Macaca fascicularis: one gene and its partners. The protein of the gene in region 2 interacts with the protein of the main gene of each other region in a biochemical or structural test. Links are inferred from orthologs where the notes say so. Each region holds a gene or a part of one and is shown on either strand. Other genes may lie near its edges.

What was found.
Region 1: the proteins of CLNS1A (region 2) and SNRPD3 form a complex in vitro, tested with the Homo sapiens proteins (2 studies listed by BioGRID). The link is inferred for Macaca fascicularis from reciprocal best matches to the Homo sapiens genes CLNS1A and SNRPD3.
Region 3: the proteins of CLNS1A (region 2) and PRMT5 form a complex in vitro, tested with the Homo sapiens proteins (5 studies listed by BioGRID and IntAct, with this or other methods). The link is inferred for Macaca fascicularis from reciprocal best matches to the Homo sapiens genes CLNS1A and PRMT5.

Annotation. Positions count from the first base shown.
Region 1 is NC_088384.1:28,879,455-28,884,680, forward strand, and holds the start of SNRPD3 (small nuclear ribonucleoprotein Sm D3), read right to left. Parts: upstream 3,075-5,226; 5' UTR 2,986-3,074; intron 1,394-2,985; 5' UTR 1,376-1,393; coding exon 1,250-1,375; intron 1-1,249. Other genes in the region: protein GUCD1, read left to right, coding at 4,070-4,112. UniProt on the Homo sapiens protein: Plays a role in pre-mRNA splicing as a core component of the spliceosomal U1, U2, U4 and U5 small nuclear ribonucleoproteins (snRNPs), the building blocks of the spliceosome.
Region 2 is NC_088388.1:76,532,568-76,537,795, forward strand, and holds the start of CLNS1A (methylosome subunit pICln), read right to left. Parts: upstream 3,569-5,228; 5' UTR 3,476-3,568; coding exon 3,351-3,475; intron 1-3,350. UniProt on the Homo sapiens protein: Involved in both the assembly of spliceosomal snRNPs and the methylation of Sm proteins.
Region 3 is NC_088381.1:90,673,601-90,678,604, forward strand, and holds the start of PRMT5 (protein arginine N-methyltransferase 5), read right to left. Parts: upstream 3,075-5,004; 5' UTR 3,060-3,074; coding exon 2,950-3,059; exon of another isoform or gene 2,924-2,949; coding exon of another isoform or gene 2,865-2,923; intron 2,317-2,864; coding exon 2,198-2,316; intron 1,913-2,197; coding exon 1,827-1,912; intron 1,342-1,826; coding exon 1,207-1,341; intron 516-1,206; coding exon 403-515; intron 269-402; coding exon 219-268; intron 11-218; coding exon 1-10. UniProt on the Homo sapiens protein: Arginine methyltransferase that can both catalyze the formation of omega-N monomethylarginine (MMA) and symmetrical dimethylarginine (sDMA), with a preference for the formation of MMA.

The DNA.
Region 1 (5,226 bases), on a different chromosome or scaffold from region 2:
AGCTATTGCACACATATAGCTCATCTGATCTTTGTAAAAGTCCTGGGGGTGTGGATATTATCCCTGTGGCAGTCTTAAGGGTGTGCTGCTCAGATCTCCCTCCAAAAGAAAACAGGCTATGAGGAGTGAAGGCAGCCGACAATCTCCATCTTTGCAGTCCACCATGGCATTCAACTTGGGGAGAGAGGCTGTCTCCCCAGGCTGCCAGCCAATGGAATGAACACACCAGGGGTGCCAGTCTGCCCATTTCTGCCCCATGTTAGACTCTTCTAATGAGCAATCACTGCCTTGCTGAGACTTCCTCAAAACTACACTGTAGTCTAAGGTTCTTCCTGCTCAATCCTCCTTCTTTCCCCTCTCGTTTCACCAGTCAGACCAGCATCACGGACTGAAAATTTCCCTGCCTACTACTGTTTCCTTGTTCCTTTATCCTTTATTGTCATTTCCCCCAATAAATACCTTGCATAATTCTGTCTTGGCATCTACATCAAAGAACCCAAAATAATAACACTCCCGTTTTACAGATGAGAAAACTGAGTGATTAATACATCTAAGGTCATATAATTAGGAATCAAACCCACATCTCTCTCTGACTCCCAAGTCCAAGTTCTTAACCAATGGTTTAAAGAACAAAGAAAGTGTGAAGATACAACTGAAAAACAATGCTATAAAAATTCAGATGACTATGCAAAAGGCAAAGCTGCGCCATGAGAAGGACACCGTATCAAGAAACTACTCCATTATTTACTATCAGAGTGATGAGTCCTTTAATCTCATTCTCCCTATTTTATGGATGACAAGACTACCACCAAACCTGCTTACCTCACAAGGTAGTTGCAATAATCAAATGAGACTCCTCCTCCAAGAGAAAAGGGAAACAAACACAGTATGTGAGAAGATTCTCCTAACTGCAAAGCAAGTGGAGGCAAATGGATAATGGCTCTGAACCTGAAGGATTCTACTGAAGGAACTTCTCCCAAACAGGTCCCCAAATTTGGGGATGGAAAAAACAAAAAAGGCGAAGTAAAATATTCCAAATCTCCAAATGGCTTTTCTGCCTCAAGACTATGTGTTTTGTTCATGCCCACATCCCCAGAGCCTATAACAGCACCTGACTGGTATGTGTTAGGCACTCAGGAAATCATTGCTGAATGAGAACAATTTACAGAAGACCCCCAACCCACACCTTTCTGTCCTTCAAGACACAGGGCCATTCCTCCCACACAGCCTCACATGCAAAGCAGAATACCTGGCAGTTCATGTTGTCCTCTGCTTCAATGAGCTTCCCCCGATATACCTCACCGGTGTTCGTCTCACATGTCACAATGTGGCCCTCGGCCTCGTGCAGCACTTTAATTGGCACACCAATAGACATCTTGGCAGGAAGAGAGCTCTACAGTGAAAGAGACAACAGTCAGTTCATCTTTCAGAGTCTGAGAAGGCATGCGGCACACGTCATGCCTCCTTCAAGGCCTGGCACTCCATAAAACTTAGCAAAAACGCCAAAGCTGCATTTTCTATCAAAGAAAAAGAAAAAAGAAAGCTCAGCTCCTGGCTTGGAGGAAACTATCTGGCAAATATGTGCAAGATGTCGGGTGAGGAGGAATGGTGGGGTGGACAGAAGTAAAAATAGGAATGAAAAGAGAGCATCTCCCATCGACCATGTGTCCCTGCTACCCTATGTCCCTTAATCTTCAGCTAAAGGACCATTAGCGAATACTGTGTGTGTAGGGGAGGGGGATTGGAATGTTAATCTGTTGCACTGTTATTTGTCAACCCTTAATTGTAGATTATTATATTTTGAGAATCATAACACAGGCCTGAGCTGTCCAATACAGTAGCTCATGTCCACATGTAGCTATTTAAATTAAACTTAACTAAAACACAATAGAATTAAAATAAAAAACCCAGTCCCTCAATCCCAGTGGCCATATTCCAAGTGCTCAACAGCTACATGTAGCTGGTGGCTACCCTACGGAAGGAGCAGATACAGACCTAAGGACCATGCATATCTAGGAGAGGAGACTGTACTTTTAATGCAGCTCTTTAACCCTTCCCTTACTTTACCATCAAGGATATTGAGAAAATATCGAAGTGACAACGTGCTATATGCAGGAAATGCCCGTCATGGAGGAAAATAAGGGAAAGCACCTGACTTGACCTAATTAAAAGCATCAAGTAGTGAACTTTTTATTGACATGAGCGACGACTCAAAGTTGGAACCTAAGTGCACCTAAGACAGGAGAACATGAGGTTGAAAAGACAGGCTCCTTTGGTGAGGATCCCTGGCTTTCAGCCTTAGGAGCCTAGATTTTATGCTGAAGATAGTGGGGAACCACTGCAAAATTATAGGTAAAGAATGACACAATGAAAAGGTAGCAGCATTTATTTACAAAATGGATCTAACGTAAGGTTTAGAAGCAGAGAAACTTGTTAAAATTTCTGCAACAGTTAAAACTGCTGCAACAGTGTGGAAAGCATGACGGGACCACTGCCTGAAAGGGAGCTGGGGGCAGACATGCAAAGAACTTTTTAAAAAATGACCGGCTGGGCGCGATGGCTCACGCCCGTAGTCCCAACACTTTTGAAGGACGAAGCCGGTGGATCCCTTGAGCCCAGGAGTTCGAGACCAGCCAGGGTAACATGGTGAAACCGTCTCTACTTTAAAAAAAAAAAAAAAAAAAACCCTCATAGGATTTGACTTCAAGATTCAAAAAACTCATAGGAAATAACTTCAAGATTACTGCCTGGAAACTTTGAAAAACACTCACCTGGAGAGATACAGAATGTAAGAAGCATGCACATTGAGGGAGCAGCTAATGAACTTACTTCCAGGCGCTAGTGAGGCGACGCTGATGTTTGGGTGGTCCAAACTTCCCGCTTTCTTCCCTCCCCGAATCCCGCAGAGTTCATGCATTGAGTCTTTCTCCAGCCCCCGGCCCCTCACAGGCACCTCGACCTCCCCTCGCCCGTCCCCAGCCTCACCGGTTCTGGCCTACTTTTCCTTCTCTTCGGTGCACGGCGAAAGCCGCTACGGCGAAGGCGTGAATCAAGAGAATGGCGGGCCCAGCTCCCAGAATTCCACTCGTTCCCAAAATGCTGCGCGCAGGGCCCGCCTCCTTCCTTTCCCCAGTGGTGAGAGCGGTGTCGCCTCCGCTTCCTCCTCACCCCGCGTGCCGGCTGGGAAACTAAGGCACCAGTACGATAGTTCCGGCACCGGAAAAGAGGGCCGAAGACTGGGCCCGGGGACCGCCGCAAACAACGACCCTTGGGGCCGGCAAAGAGCCAGAGAGGGTGCTTGCACTTCCAAGCGCCCCACACCAAGGACAGGCTGGACGGCAAGGCGGAGACTCGGGGCCTGGGCCCTCAGACCGGGGGCAGCAGGAGGTTGGGCCAAGGGCCAGGACTTCCCCTCACAATTTAATTTTTTGATCCCAGCACCGCCAGGTAAGGGGCGCCCTGAGTGAGGCTACGTATCTCGTACGGATAAAGTTAGGTATAGAGTAGAGAGGAGGCCGGCTCAGGGTCATCCCTAAAGGCAGTTTAAGGAGAGTTGTTTGGAGCCTCCGGAATACACTGGGCCGGACCAGGGTTTACAGCTAAGACTGGCAAAGGAGCGGGCCCCGGCAGAGGCGGGGCTTGCTGAAGGGAGGAGCCTCTGTTCACGAAATGCACGGGCTTTGGGGCGGGGCTCAAGGAAAGGGGCGGAGCTTCCGGGTCCGCGTCTTGTTGGGCTTCGCGGCTGCGCGAGGATTGGACGAGAGGGCTGGGTCACTCGACGCTGAGGCGGTGAATGGCCGGGGCAGATTTAAATCGGGAGGCTGGGGGCCTCTAGGATCAAAGTTTGGGGCGGGGCTTAGAGAAAGGGCGGGGCCTCCAGATTCGAGACCTGGAAGGGCTGGGGCGGGGCTTGGGGCGGCCCAGCCACCGCCTCCGGTTCTCCCCTCCGCAGCGGCGGCGGTGGCGGAGAAGGAACTCGACACGCACCGACCGCCCTACCGCCCCAGCCGAAGCGGAAGCTGTAGCCCGCTCTGGGCCGGGGCCATGGGCGCCCCGCGCCGCCCGGGTCATGAGGACGGAGGCGGAGGCAGCGGGGCCGCCGCTCGAGCCCGGTCAGTGCCTCTCTGTGGGCCCAGTCTTCACCCTAGGAACGAAGGGGACCCCGCCCTAGCGCGGGGCAGGGTCCAGCCGCGCGACCTTGGGCCGACTCCCGCCTCACCCCCACACCCGCCTCGCTCCAGTCAGTGGGGGTTTCCTGACACTGGCAGGATTGCGACCCTTGTCCGCATGGTGGGAGGGTCCGGGTAGAAGGGGCGCCACCTTCCCCAGAAGCGAAAAGTCCTACTGGAGCCGCCTTGGGAGCTCTCGTGCCTTGGGGAACCGTGGAGGACTGAGGCTGGGAAGGGCAGGAAACTGGCCGAGAGCACCGAGTAATGAAAGGGCCGGTGCTCTGGCCTCCCAGAGTCGGCGTTTTGTCTTGCTCCTGTTCTTCCCCCTCTGGTTCCCTCTGCCACGCGGTAGCCTGAGCCCCTTTGGGGCGGAGACTCGGACTGGTTTTCAGTGTCTTGGCAGTTAGTTTGCTTGCCCAAGAGGTAGGGGAGGGGGAAGACGTGATTCCTGTCCTGCTGAAGGCGCAGGGTTGGTGAGGAACGGAGTGCTAGCTAGTAAACTCTCAAGTGAAGTGCCAACTGTGGGAGAGGTCAACAACATGTGGGACCCTGACCTTCAGGTGTCACTCCCAGGGAGTGTTCTCTTTTGTGTTTGCTGTGTGGAGTGGGGGGGGATTTACATCCCTCCTCCTCCAGTTGTCTAGCCCTGTGATCTGAGACAAGATACTTGCCTTTCCTGAGCCTCAGAGGAGGAAAGGCTTACATTCACAGGGACCTTTCTATGAGGCAGGCAGGCGCTGTGCGCAGTTGTTTACATGCAGTGCCTCATTAATCCTGATAACGACCCAGTGAAGTAGGTGCCCACTGTGATTTGCACTTTTTCAGCTGACCAGACTGAGTCTGAGATGGGTTAAGTATTCAAGGCTAGCACACTACCTGCCTTCCTTAGTGACAACCACTAACTGAGGTCAGACCAGGGCCTTCCAGGCAGCCCCTTGGCTCCAGGCAGCAACATCTGGCTGTGACTTTGTGTTCAGAAGGCTAAAGCTGTTACGGGGACAAATGCCAAGGCCTCGCCTAACATTATCTCCCCCAACATGAGCATCTCTAGGTCCCA
Region 2 (5,228 bases):
AAATAAGTTGGAGATTCTAACTCTTTCAACACAAATCTGAGAGACTAAAACCAAGTCTAGCCAAAACCTAATCTGTTGCTGTCCCTCTCTGCCTCAAACTAAATAGTTTCACCAAAGCCTAAAGGCTATAAGCCAAACTCATGAACATGACTGTCTTCTTCTCCAGCTTTGTTATCTCTGGGCATTCTCCCTCCATGCCTCAGAGGAAGAACTGCTGGACTGTATATACATGTATACAGTATGTGTGTGTATTTATACTCTTTTTTTTGTATTTATGTTTCACACACAAAAAATGATCTTGGCCTGCCGCAGTGGCTCATGCCTGTAATTCCAGCACTTTGGGAGGCCGAGGCGGATGGATCATGAGGTCAGGAGTTCGAGACCAGCTTGACCAACATGGTGAAACCCCGTCTCTACTAAAAATACAAAAATTGGCTGGGCGTGGTGGAGCACGTCTGTAATCCCAGCTACTCGGGAGGCTGAGGCAGGAGAATCACTTGAACCCAGGAGGTGGAGGTTGCAGTGAGCCAAAATCGCACCACTGCACTCCAGCCTGGGCAACAGAGCGAGGCTCTGTCTCAAAAAAAATAAATAAATAAATAAAAAATAATCTTAAAGAAGAAACATAAGAGATTTGTTTGTGAAAAGCTGAAACAAATAATTTTTAATTTTTTTAAGAGACAAGGTTTCACTGTGTCACCCAGGCTGGAATGTAGTGGCATGATCACAGCTCACTGTAGCCTCAACTTCCCAGGCTTAAGTAATCCTCCCACCTCAGCCCCCCATAGTAGCTGCGACTACAGGTACATGCAACCATGACCGGCTAATTTTTGCAATTTTGTATTCTTTGTAGAGACAGGGTTTTGTCATGTTGCCCAGGCTGGTCAACAACTCCTGGGCTCAAGCGATCTGCTCACCTTGGCCTTCCAAAGAGCAGGGATTTACAGGTGTGAGCCACCTTGTCCAGGCTAAGAATTTTTAAAAAACTGGTAAGAACTTAAAAAGAGTTATACTTCCTTGGTGTGACAATTGTATTGTGGTTATACAAGATAATGTCCCTGTTCTTCTGAACAGGAAGTAGAAAACATGTCTGCAATTCTCAAATGGCTCAGAAAAAAAAGAAAAACAGACAAACATGGCAAAATGTTAACTAATAAATCTTTGTGAAGGGTGTATGGGTAGTAATAACACTTACAACTTTTCTTTAGGTTTGAAATTTTTCTTTTTTTTTTTTGAGGCAGTCTCTGTCACCCAGGCTGGAGTGCAATGGCATGATCTCGGCTCACTACAACCTCCGCCTCTCGGGTTCAAGCAATTCTTCCGTCTCAGCCTCCCAAGTAGCTGAGATTACAGATGCCTGCCACCACACCCAGCTAATTTTTGTATTTTAGTAGAGATGAGGTTTCACCATGTTGGCCAGGCTGGTCTTGAACTCCTGTCCTCAGGTGATCTGCCCGCCTCCGCCTCCCAAAGTGCTGGAATTACAGGCGTGAGCCACCGCACCGGACCGTAGGTTTGAAATTTTTCAAAATGCAAAAACCAATACAGGACTGTCCCTCAAAAGGAGTTATAATATTGAACGAAGTGTCAACATACAGAAATGTCATGAATAAAAAAGGAATGCCTGGGAACTAGGAATGTATCTGTGCTCCATCTTCCATCACTTCAAAGAAACTGCTTTCCCCAAATATCAAAGATTTCCTTGTCAATACTCAATATACGCTCTTCATATTTTGTTTTGACTGCTCCTTCCTCCTTTCTCGAGTCTCTTCTTCTATGACCCACACAAAGGTGTGTCCCTAGGGTTCTACACTTGGTCCTCTTCTCTTCTGAGATAGTTAATCCATTTCCATGAGTATACACTAATACTTCAACGACTTCCAAACATCTATCTTTAATACCACTTTCCCAAGACACACACTCTTTTTTTTTTTTTTTTTTTTTGAGACAAGGTCTCACTCTGTCACTTAGGCTGGAGTGCAGGGGCACAATCACGGCTCACCGTGCCTCGACCTTCTGGACTCAGGTGATCCTCCCATCTCAGTTTCCTGAGTAGCTAGGACTACAGGCCGCCACCATGCCTGGCTAACTTTTGTATTTTTTGTAGAGACTGGGTTTCGCCATGTTACCCAGGCTAATCTCGAACTTCTGGGGCGATCCGCCTGCCTCAGCTTCCCAAAGTGCTGGGATTACAGGTGTGAGCCACCACGCCCGGCCCAACACACACTCGTATGTACAACTACTCCACACATGTCCTGACCAAACTCATTATCTGCCTCTCACCTCAATCTTGCTTTTCCTACCACCCATATGTCCTATCTCAGTGACTGGCCTGAAGCCTAAGCCTTGTTCAATGTCTAAATTTCCCTTTAAAGCAACAGTTCTTTACAGTTTTTGTGCTCTGGATTCTGTGGTAGGCAAAATTTTGGCCCCCACGACCTTCAGTTTCTGGTGTCATGCGTGTGAATATGTTATATTACACAGCAAAAGGGACTTCGCAAACCTAATTAAGGTTACCAGTGGACAGCAACATAGGGAGATTATCCCGGATTTTACAGGTGGTTCCAAAGTAATCACATGAGTTCTTAGAGAATTTTCTCTGGCTGTCGACAAGTGATGGAGCAAAAGGGGAAGCAACACATATCTGAAGGGCAGGAAAGATTAAATGTGTCATTACAGGCTTCAAAATAAAGAGAACTAAATGTCAAGGAAACAGGGACCTCGGTTCTACAACCACAATATTTAAGGTAGATCTATCTGACTGTGAAAATACCAAAGTGCTCCAGGTGGCCAAATAAAAGGGCAACTCCTTCCAGGACCCCAAAACGGGAGTCTGGTACCTCTGCATATGACCCCTGTCTGTGTCGAGTTAAGGATATTCCTCTCCTTACTATTCCTACAGAAAAAATCTATATTGTGTAACCAAACTTTCAAAGTCCTCCACACTCGGCTCTGAAACTACGTATCCTGCAGAGGGGAACATCTCCTGCATCTGTTCATCCGGAAAGACAGGCACACTTCAGACTCTTAAAACGAGACCGTGCGTTAAGGGCAACGCACGCGCCAGACCTCCAGTAAAAGGCGAGTTTAAAAAAACAAAACAAAAAAACAAAAGCACAATCCATGAGGGGAAATTCCGGCCCGAGAAAATAGAGAATGGAAGACTCGGGAAGAGTGCTAGAAAAATCGAGCCTTCCAGCCGGTACAGGTATCCCTGAGGCGTCCCGGACACGCGCCCCCGCTCCCAGCAGCCCTCCAGGCCGCCCCTTGCCCGGCTCCTTCGCACCGCCTGCTCCAGCAAGGAGGAGGGTGGCACGCAGGAGGCCGGCGCTGGGGACCGGGAACCCTACCTCTCAGCGATGTAAAGGGTACCAGTGCCGAGGCCCTTCCCGTTCAGCACAGCCTCGGTGTCTGGTTGTTGCCGCAGGAGCCCCTCCGCCGGCCCAGGCGGCGGGAAACTTTTGAGGAAGCTCATAGCAGCAGAAAGTGCGACAACACAGCCCCTGAGGGAGTTAGAACACAGCAATGCGTGCACCACACCGCTCGCCCTGGAAGAGGCACTCACCCCGGAAGAACAACTTAGTCTGCCCCGGAATCTGAACGCCGTCGACCATAGAGATGAGACATTCTAGGAAAAGCGTCGGAGGTCGGCTAAGACCGTGTGGAGTTTAACACCCCTCTCGTTCTTCCTCGCCATTTCTGAGGCTTTGGGCTTCAAGAACTGAGGGTTCTGTGGGAAGTCCCTCAAGATTGTCACAGTGAAATCACCATTGCAAAATTGTAACTGAGACACTGAAAGCAATCTGACCTACCCAAATCCATGTTGTTTCTAACCTCCAAGCTGTCCTTGTTCATTCCTCGTATAGGCTGAACTACCTTTGGGAGGAACTTAGTTTACAGTTTGAAGTTTTAAAACAAAGATGATGACAGCCTTTTTCCAAAACAAACTTCCTTCTTGCCTGGGGGCTGGACTGCCTTTGTAGGACTAACAAATCAGCCAAAGATTAGAAATTTTGTAATTTAGAAATTACAGCTGGAGGCCACAAGATTCTGACCCTCCCTAAACTGCACTTAAGATAGGTGCTTAAGATATGTTGCAGACCCTACACTTGATGGATCAGCTGGCACCACCAGATGCATAAACTGGCTATGTGATCTTGTGCCCCCTCCCCCGCAACCCAGGAACTGACTCAGGGCAAGAGGATAGCTTCAACTCCCTGTGATTTCATCCCCCACCCAACCAATCAACACTCTTCAGTCACTGGCCTTCCCCAACCTTCCAAATTATCCTTAAAAACTTTGATCCCTGGCCGGGCACGGTGGCTCACGCCTGTAATCCCAACACTTTGGGAGGCTGAGACGGGCGGATCACGAGGTCAGGAGATCCAGACCATTCTGGCTAACAAGGTGAAACCCCGTCTCTACTAAAAATACAAAAAATTAGCCGGGTGTGGTGGCAGGCGCCTGTAGTTCCAGCTACTCTCGGGAGGCTGAGGCAGGAGAATGGTGTGAACCCGGGAGGCGGAGCTTGCAGTGAGCCGAGATCGCGCTACTGCACTCCAGCCTGGGCAACAGAGCGAGACTGTCTCAAAAAAAAAAAAAAAGAAAGAAAAGAAAAGAAAAAAAGAAAACTTTGATCCCTGAATGCTCTGGAAAACTGATTTGAGTAAAAATAAAACTCTAGGCTGGGAGCAGTGGCTCATGCTTGTAATCCCAGCACTGTGGGAGGCCGAGGCTGGCAGATCACCAGGTCAGGAGATCGAGACCAGCCTGGCTAATACAGTGAAACCCCGTCTCTACTAAAAATACAAAAACAAAATTAGCCGGGCGTGGTGGCAGGCGCCTGTAGTCCCAGCTACGCGGAAGGTTGAAGCGGGAGAATGGGGTGAACCCGAGAGGCGGAGCTTGCAGTGAGCCAAGATCGTGCCACTGCACTCCAGCCTGGGCGACATAGCGAGACTCCGTCTCAAAACAACAACAACAACAAAAACTCTAGTCTCCTGCACAGCGGCCCTGCGTGAATTACTGTTTTTCTATGACAATTTCCATCTTGATAAATCAGCTCTGTCTAGGCAACAGGCAAGGTGAACCCACTGGGCCATTACAGCAGCAACCCTGTTACAACCCTGTTGTAACTGCCCAATGGGTTCACCGTGCCTGCTGCTTAGACAGAGTCGATTTATCAAGACAGGGGAATTGCAATAGAGAAAGAGTAATACACCGGGCGA
Region 3 (5,004 bases), on a different chromosome or scaffold from region 2:
ATTTCAAGAGCTACATGAGACAAAGAAAAACTGTCAACCACTGCCAGGCAAGAAACCCTTCCTTGCTCCTTTGTGAAAAATCTGTTTACCTCTTTAAGAGAAAGGCAGTCTGAGACAGAGGGTAAGTAGTAAAATTGTATACTATATACAAAATTCCTGAATCTTATTCACAGGAGGTCAGAGAAGCAACACCCAACCCAGGATTCTCATGGACTCACCCACTGCAATCCTCTTACTATAGTCACACAAAGTCCGGAAGTTGTGCCACCTGTTCAGAGTCAAATACAGAAAAGTACAGTCAACTAGATACGGCCGACCAATCACCATAGCTCAAGGAGACCTCCCTATAGGTTTCACCCTGTACTTCCCCTCACCCTATCACAGCAGCAAAGGGAGACATACCACATCCATGTTTTCTCCTCCCCACTGTACTCCTCTGTGTGTGTAGTTGGTGCATTCTCAATTATATCATCTCTCAGGTCCTCTGGTGCCACCAAGGGTACCCGCATCCAGAACTGCACATGAACAGTCACCCTTTTAGAACACCCTTTTGAACTCACTCGGTCCAGAAAGTTTCCCTCAATCAAAAACTTCATTCAGACCTCGCTAATCCCTTTATATGCTTTTCCCAATTTGTGATTTTGTAAGTGAACATGTACCTTATGTATAGATCCTTATGTAAATATCTGCCTTATCTTACGTAAGTTTCCGAAATAATTACATTTGCATGTTTTGAAACTCTCTTCATACCACTTTTAGATGGAGAGGTGCGCAATATTGACCTTTTTTTTGAGACAAGGTCTGGCTCTGTCACCCAGGCTGGAGTGCAGTGGTGCAATCTCAGCTAACTGCAACCTCCGTCTCACAGGTTCAAGTCATTCTCCCACCTCAGCTTCCCAAGTAGCTGGGACTACAGGCGTGTGACACCACACCTAGCTAATCTGTGTTTTTTTGTTTTGGTTTTGGTTTTTGTAGAGACAGGGTTTCACCAGGCTTCCCAAGCTGGTCTCGAACTTCTGAGCTCAGCGATCTGCCCACCTCAGCCTCCCAAAGTGCTGGGATTACAGGCATGAGCCACTGTGCCCGGCAATACTGATACTTCAATTCTGCCAAACACACCCTTCACTGAATGGCTAGGCACAAGAAGGTACTTAGCACAATCTGACTACTATGATATGCAGCAGGAAAGGAGCCCCTCAGCTATACCATAGAAGAGTGATGGCCAGTGTGGATGTGGTTGGTCAAAACTCTGGCCAGGTTGGTGTTATCTTCCTGATTAAGGGGCAGCAGGAAAGCTGGAAGACCCAAATATGCACCAAAATTCAGCTCCTGTAACATGGCCTGGAATGGAGATGAAGAGGAAAAGGTTGAGCTAACAAGCAAATAGCTTTCTTTTCTTTTCTTTTCTTTTTTTTTTTTTTTTTTGAGACAAAGTCTCACTCTGTCACCCAGGCTGGAGTACAGTGGCACAATCTCCACTCATCTGCAGCCTCAACCTTCCCAAGCTCAACTGATCCTCCCACCTCAGCCTCCTGAGTAGCTGGGACCACAGGAATGTGCCACCATGCCTGGCTAATTTTTGTATATTTTATAGAGATGGGGTTTCACTATGCTGCCCAGGCTGGTCTCAAACTCCTGAGCTCCAGTGATCCTACAACCTCAGCCTCCCAAAGTGATAGGATCATAGGTGTGCACCATGGGGTCCAGCCTAATAGCTTTAATTTCATTGTATCAGTTGATTTACCAAGTTATTGGGGGTGGGAGGGGACCACTCTCCCTACCCAGCTTGGTTAGAAAGATCCAGCATAGAAGTCAAAGAGTCTTACCGCCTCGGAGTTCCTGCGAATCTTCTCCACTTTTGAGTCTGGACGAATCCATGGAGAAAGCTTTCCCACAATTAGCGTATTCCAGTCTGCACTCCCCCACCCAAGAGAGACAAATACTGAATAAGGTTCAGCACTTTACTTGTTCAATTTTTAGTTTTGGGAATCAAGAGTAGAAATGAGAGACAAAGGTTTTTTCTACATAGACATGGGATAGCCTGATGCAGAATAGAGAAGCAAGGAGAAAACAAGTTATCTATATCCCAGGGACTAACAAATATATCCAAGTCAGAAAAGGAGAAGAATCGGGGCCCCGATAAAGCAGAAGTTGTTATTGCCTCTAATAATTAAGGGGCATATGGGATGGTCCCTACCCCTTCCTGACAGCAGTAGGTCTGATCGTGTCTGGGGGCCGGGCCGATTCTTAGCAGGTTCCTGAATGAACTCCCTCTTGAAACGCGGATGGAAGACAGGCATGCAGAGGAAATCAAACCTACAACCGCGACAGACCCAGAATCATGTAAAGAGAGCAGCAGTGCCAGAAAGCCAAGCAACTGGATTTAGGCTATTTTGATTTTGCACAGCCCTTTCAGCTGCCATCAGTTCACCCTACTAGGCTGCTGAGTTCAGACCACCTTGGGGGATATCTCTGCTGTACTGTGCCTCAGTTTCTCCCCAAAACACAGCCATGGGAAATATGAGTAAGGAGAAAACGATGGAAATCCACAAGTAGAATTTTTTTCTCCTCAGGTGTCACTATGTTTCGAAGACCATCACATCCAGATTTGCCCCAGTTCTGCCCGTGCCTCCCCTGTCAAGATTAGCCTCTTCTCTCCCTTGCCCCCTAACACCTCCTCCCACTCCCAGACAATAATCGCGACCTCCAGAGCCCTTTAGAGTTTACTCAACAACTCTCCCAACTTTGGGACTCAGTGACCACAGGCCCCCCACAAGTTCTCTTCCTCACGTTACTGGGTCCGAGGCTTCTCCCCTCCAAAGAGTAATAGTCTCTCCCCTTCTCATCTTAGCCGACCCCCTCACCCCAGTTTCTCCGGGATGACTAGTCTGCCCTTCTCCGTCCCCGAGTTCAGACCCCGCATTCCGCTCGTGGAGGTCCGGCCCTCACCCCTGCTTGGCCACAGCCCCTAGTGTGTCAGCTATTTCGGGGACGCAATTCAGGTCCCTCCCGCTGGACACGCGGCTCCCACCAGCACCCCCGACCGCCATCGCCGCCATCTTTTTCCTCGCGCTGTCCATGCCGGGATTCCTTGATACTAGTAGCCAATCACAAAGCCAAACTAGAGACCCAGGAGGCGGGACGAGTCGCCTTAACAACCAGAGCGTCTGCCACAGCTCCCGAACGGGAGGGATGGGGAGTGGCTTTTCCCGCCAATCCGCGGGCTGCGCAGTGGCGTACGGCGAGGCTCCTGAAGATCCACCAATCTCAGAGTCTGGTTTCAGACGAACTTCAATCTCCCAGAATGCTTAGTGTATCTGCAGAACTCCGCTATGAGACTACACCTCCCATGAAACCCTGCAGTACAACCTTGAAGGAGGATCACGGAGAAAATCACTTTCGTCTCAGGGCCAGTGGCGCAATGGATAACGCGTCTGACTACGGATCAGAAGATTCCAGGTTCGACTCCTGGCTGGCTCGGTGGGGCTGTTCACAATTTTACTTTATGAGCATTTTCTGATTTTCCTTACCTTTCGTCGTTTGAAGCTTCTTTATTATCTTAACGCTTTCATTTTCAGGTCCTAAGTTGGTTGGGTTCTGCAGCCATCTAATGTCAGCTTTTCCCATAACTACCTTCAAAAGTGTTTTCCTTGTGTCATTATTTACGTCCATATGAACATTGAGAAAACTGGGTTAATGGCTGGTGCTATTAAAATGGGCTTTGTCACCTTATTATGTTACATATTAAAATAAACTGCTAACTCAGCTACTTCCTAGTGATTCTAGGAAGTAGTGTTTTGTGTTTCAAACACAAAAGGTTTGAATAAACGCCTAAACACACACACACACACACACACACACACACACACACACACTTCAAGATAGAGAAAAGGAATTCATGAATTACAGTGGGCAGCAGTCATGAAACTGGCTGGCGTGGAGGCCAGAGAGAATCTACATTTTCCCATGTCAATAGCTGCTAGAGAGATGGAAAGGAAGGAAGCAAGGAAAGACATAGGGGAGGGAAATGGGAACTTCTGAAGGCAGGGGGCCCACTGGTGTTGAGGCAGCTCGGCAACAAGGATGGAGAGGAGAACACGGTACAAGAGGCCCCACGCAGGCGCTGCTGGCAGAACTTAGGGACCGACTGGCAGGGAGTCCTGAGAAAGCAGTCGGGGTGATGCCTAGGATTCTGTCCCTGCAGTGAGCGAGAAATGCGAAGAGGGTTTGGGAAATCAGGGTTTGGGTTTAGTCATGCTGAATTGAACGTCTAGGGGGCGCTGTGTAATAGAAAGTTGGATGAAGAGTGATCTGAACCAGATGAGATGGAGGTCGCCAGAAGAAAGAACTGAGGTCATGAGACTGAGATCACCATAGCTCGTTGGGGACAGAGCCATAGGAAATACGAAAAGGGTGTGGGGTAGGATAAATTCTGGGGAACCCTGGGTGCAATGCAAGTGCCCCAGAAGAATGAAAGCTGGAAAACCCACCGGGCGCGGTGGCTCACGCCTGTAATCCCAGCACTTTGGGAGGTGGAGGCAGGTGCATCTCCTGAGGTCAGTAGTTCGAGACCAGCCTAGGCAACATGGCAAAACCCCCGTCTCTACTAAAAATACCAAAGGCGTGGTAGCAGGCCCCTGTAATCCCAGCTACCCGGGAGGCCGATGATCTCAGTTCACTGCAACCTCCACCTTCCGGGTTCAAGCAATTCTCCTGCCTCAATCTCCCAAGTAGTTGGGACCACAGGTGTGTACCACCACGCCTGACTAATTTTTGTATTTTTAGTAGAGATGGGGTTTCACCATGTTGGCCAGGCTGGTTTCAAACTCCTGACCTCAGGTGATTCACCCACCTCAGCCTCCCAAAGTGCTGAGATTACAGGTGTGAGTCATGACGCCCAGCCTTCACCAGCATTTTAAGAGGTAAAAGAAAGAGTTGTTGAGGAGGTCTGCTTGTTCTCTGCCCTAGCTGTGCCCAACCAAACTCTACATTCATGGAAGACTC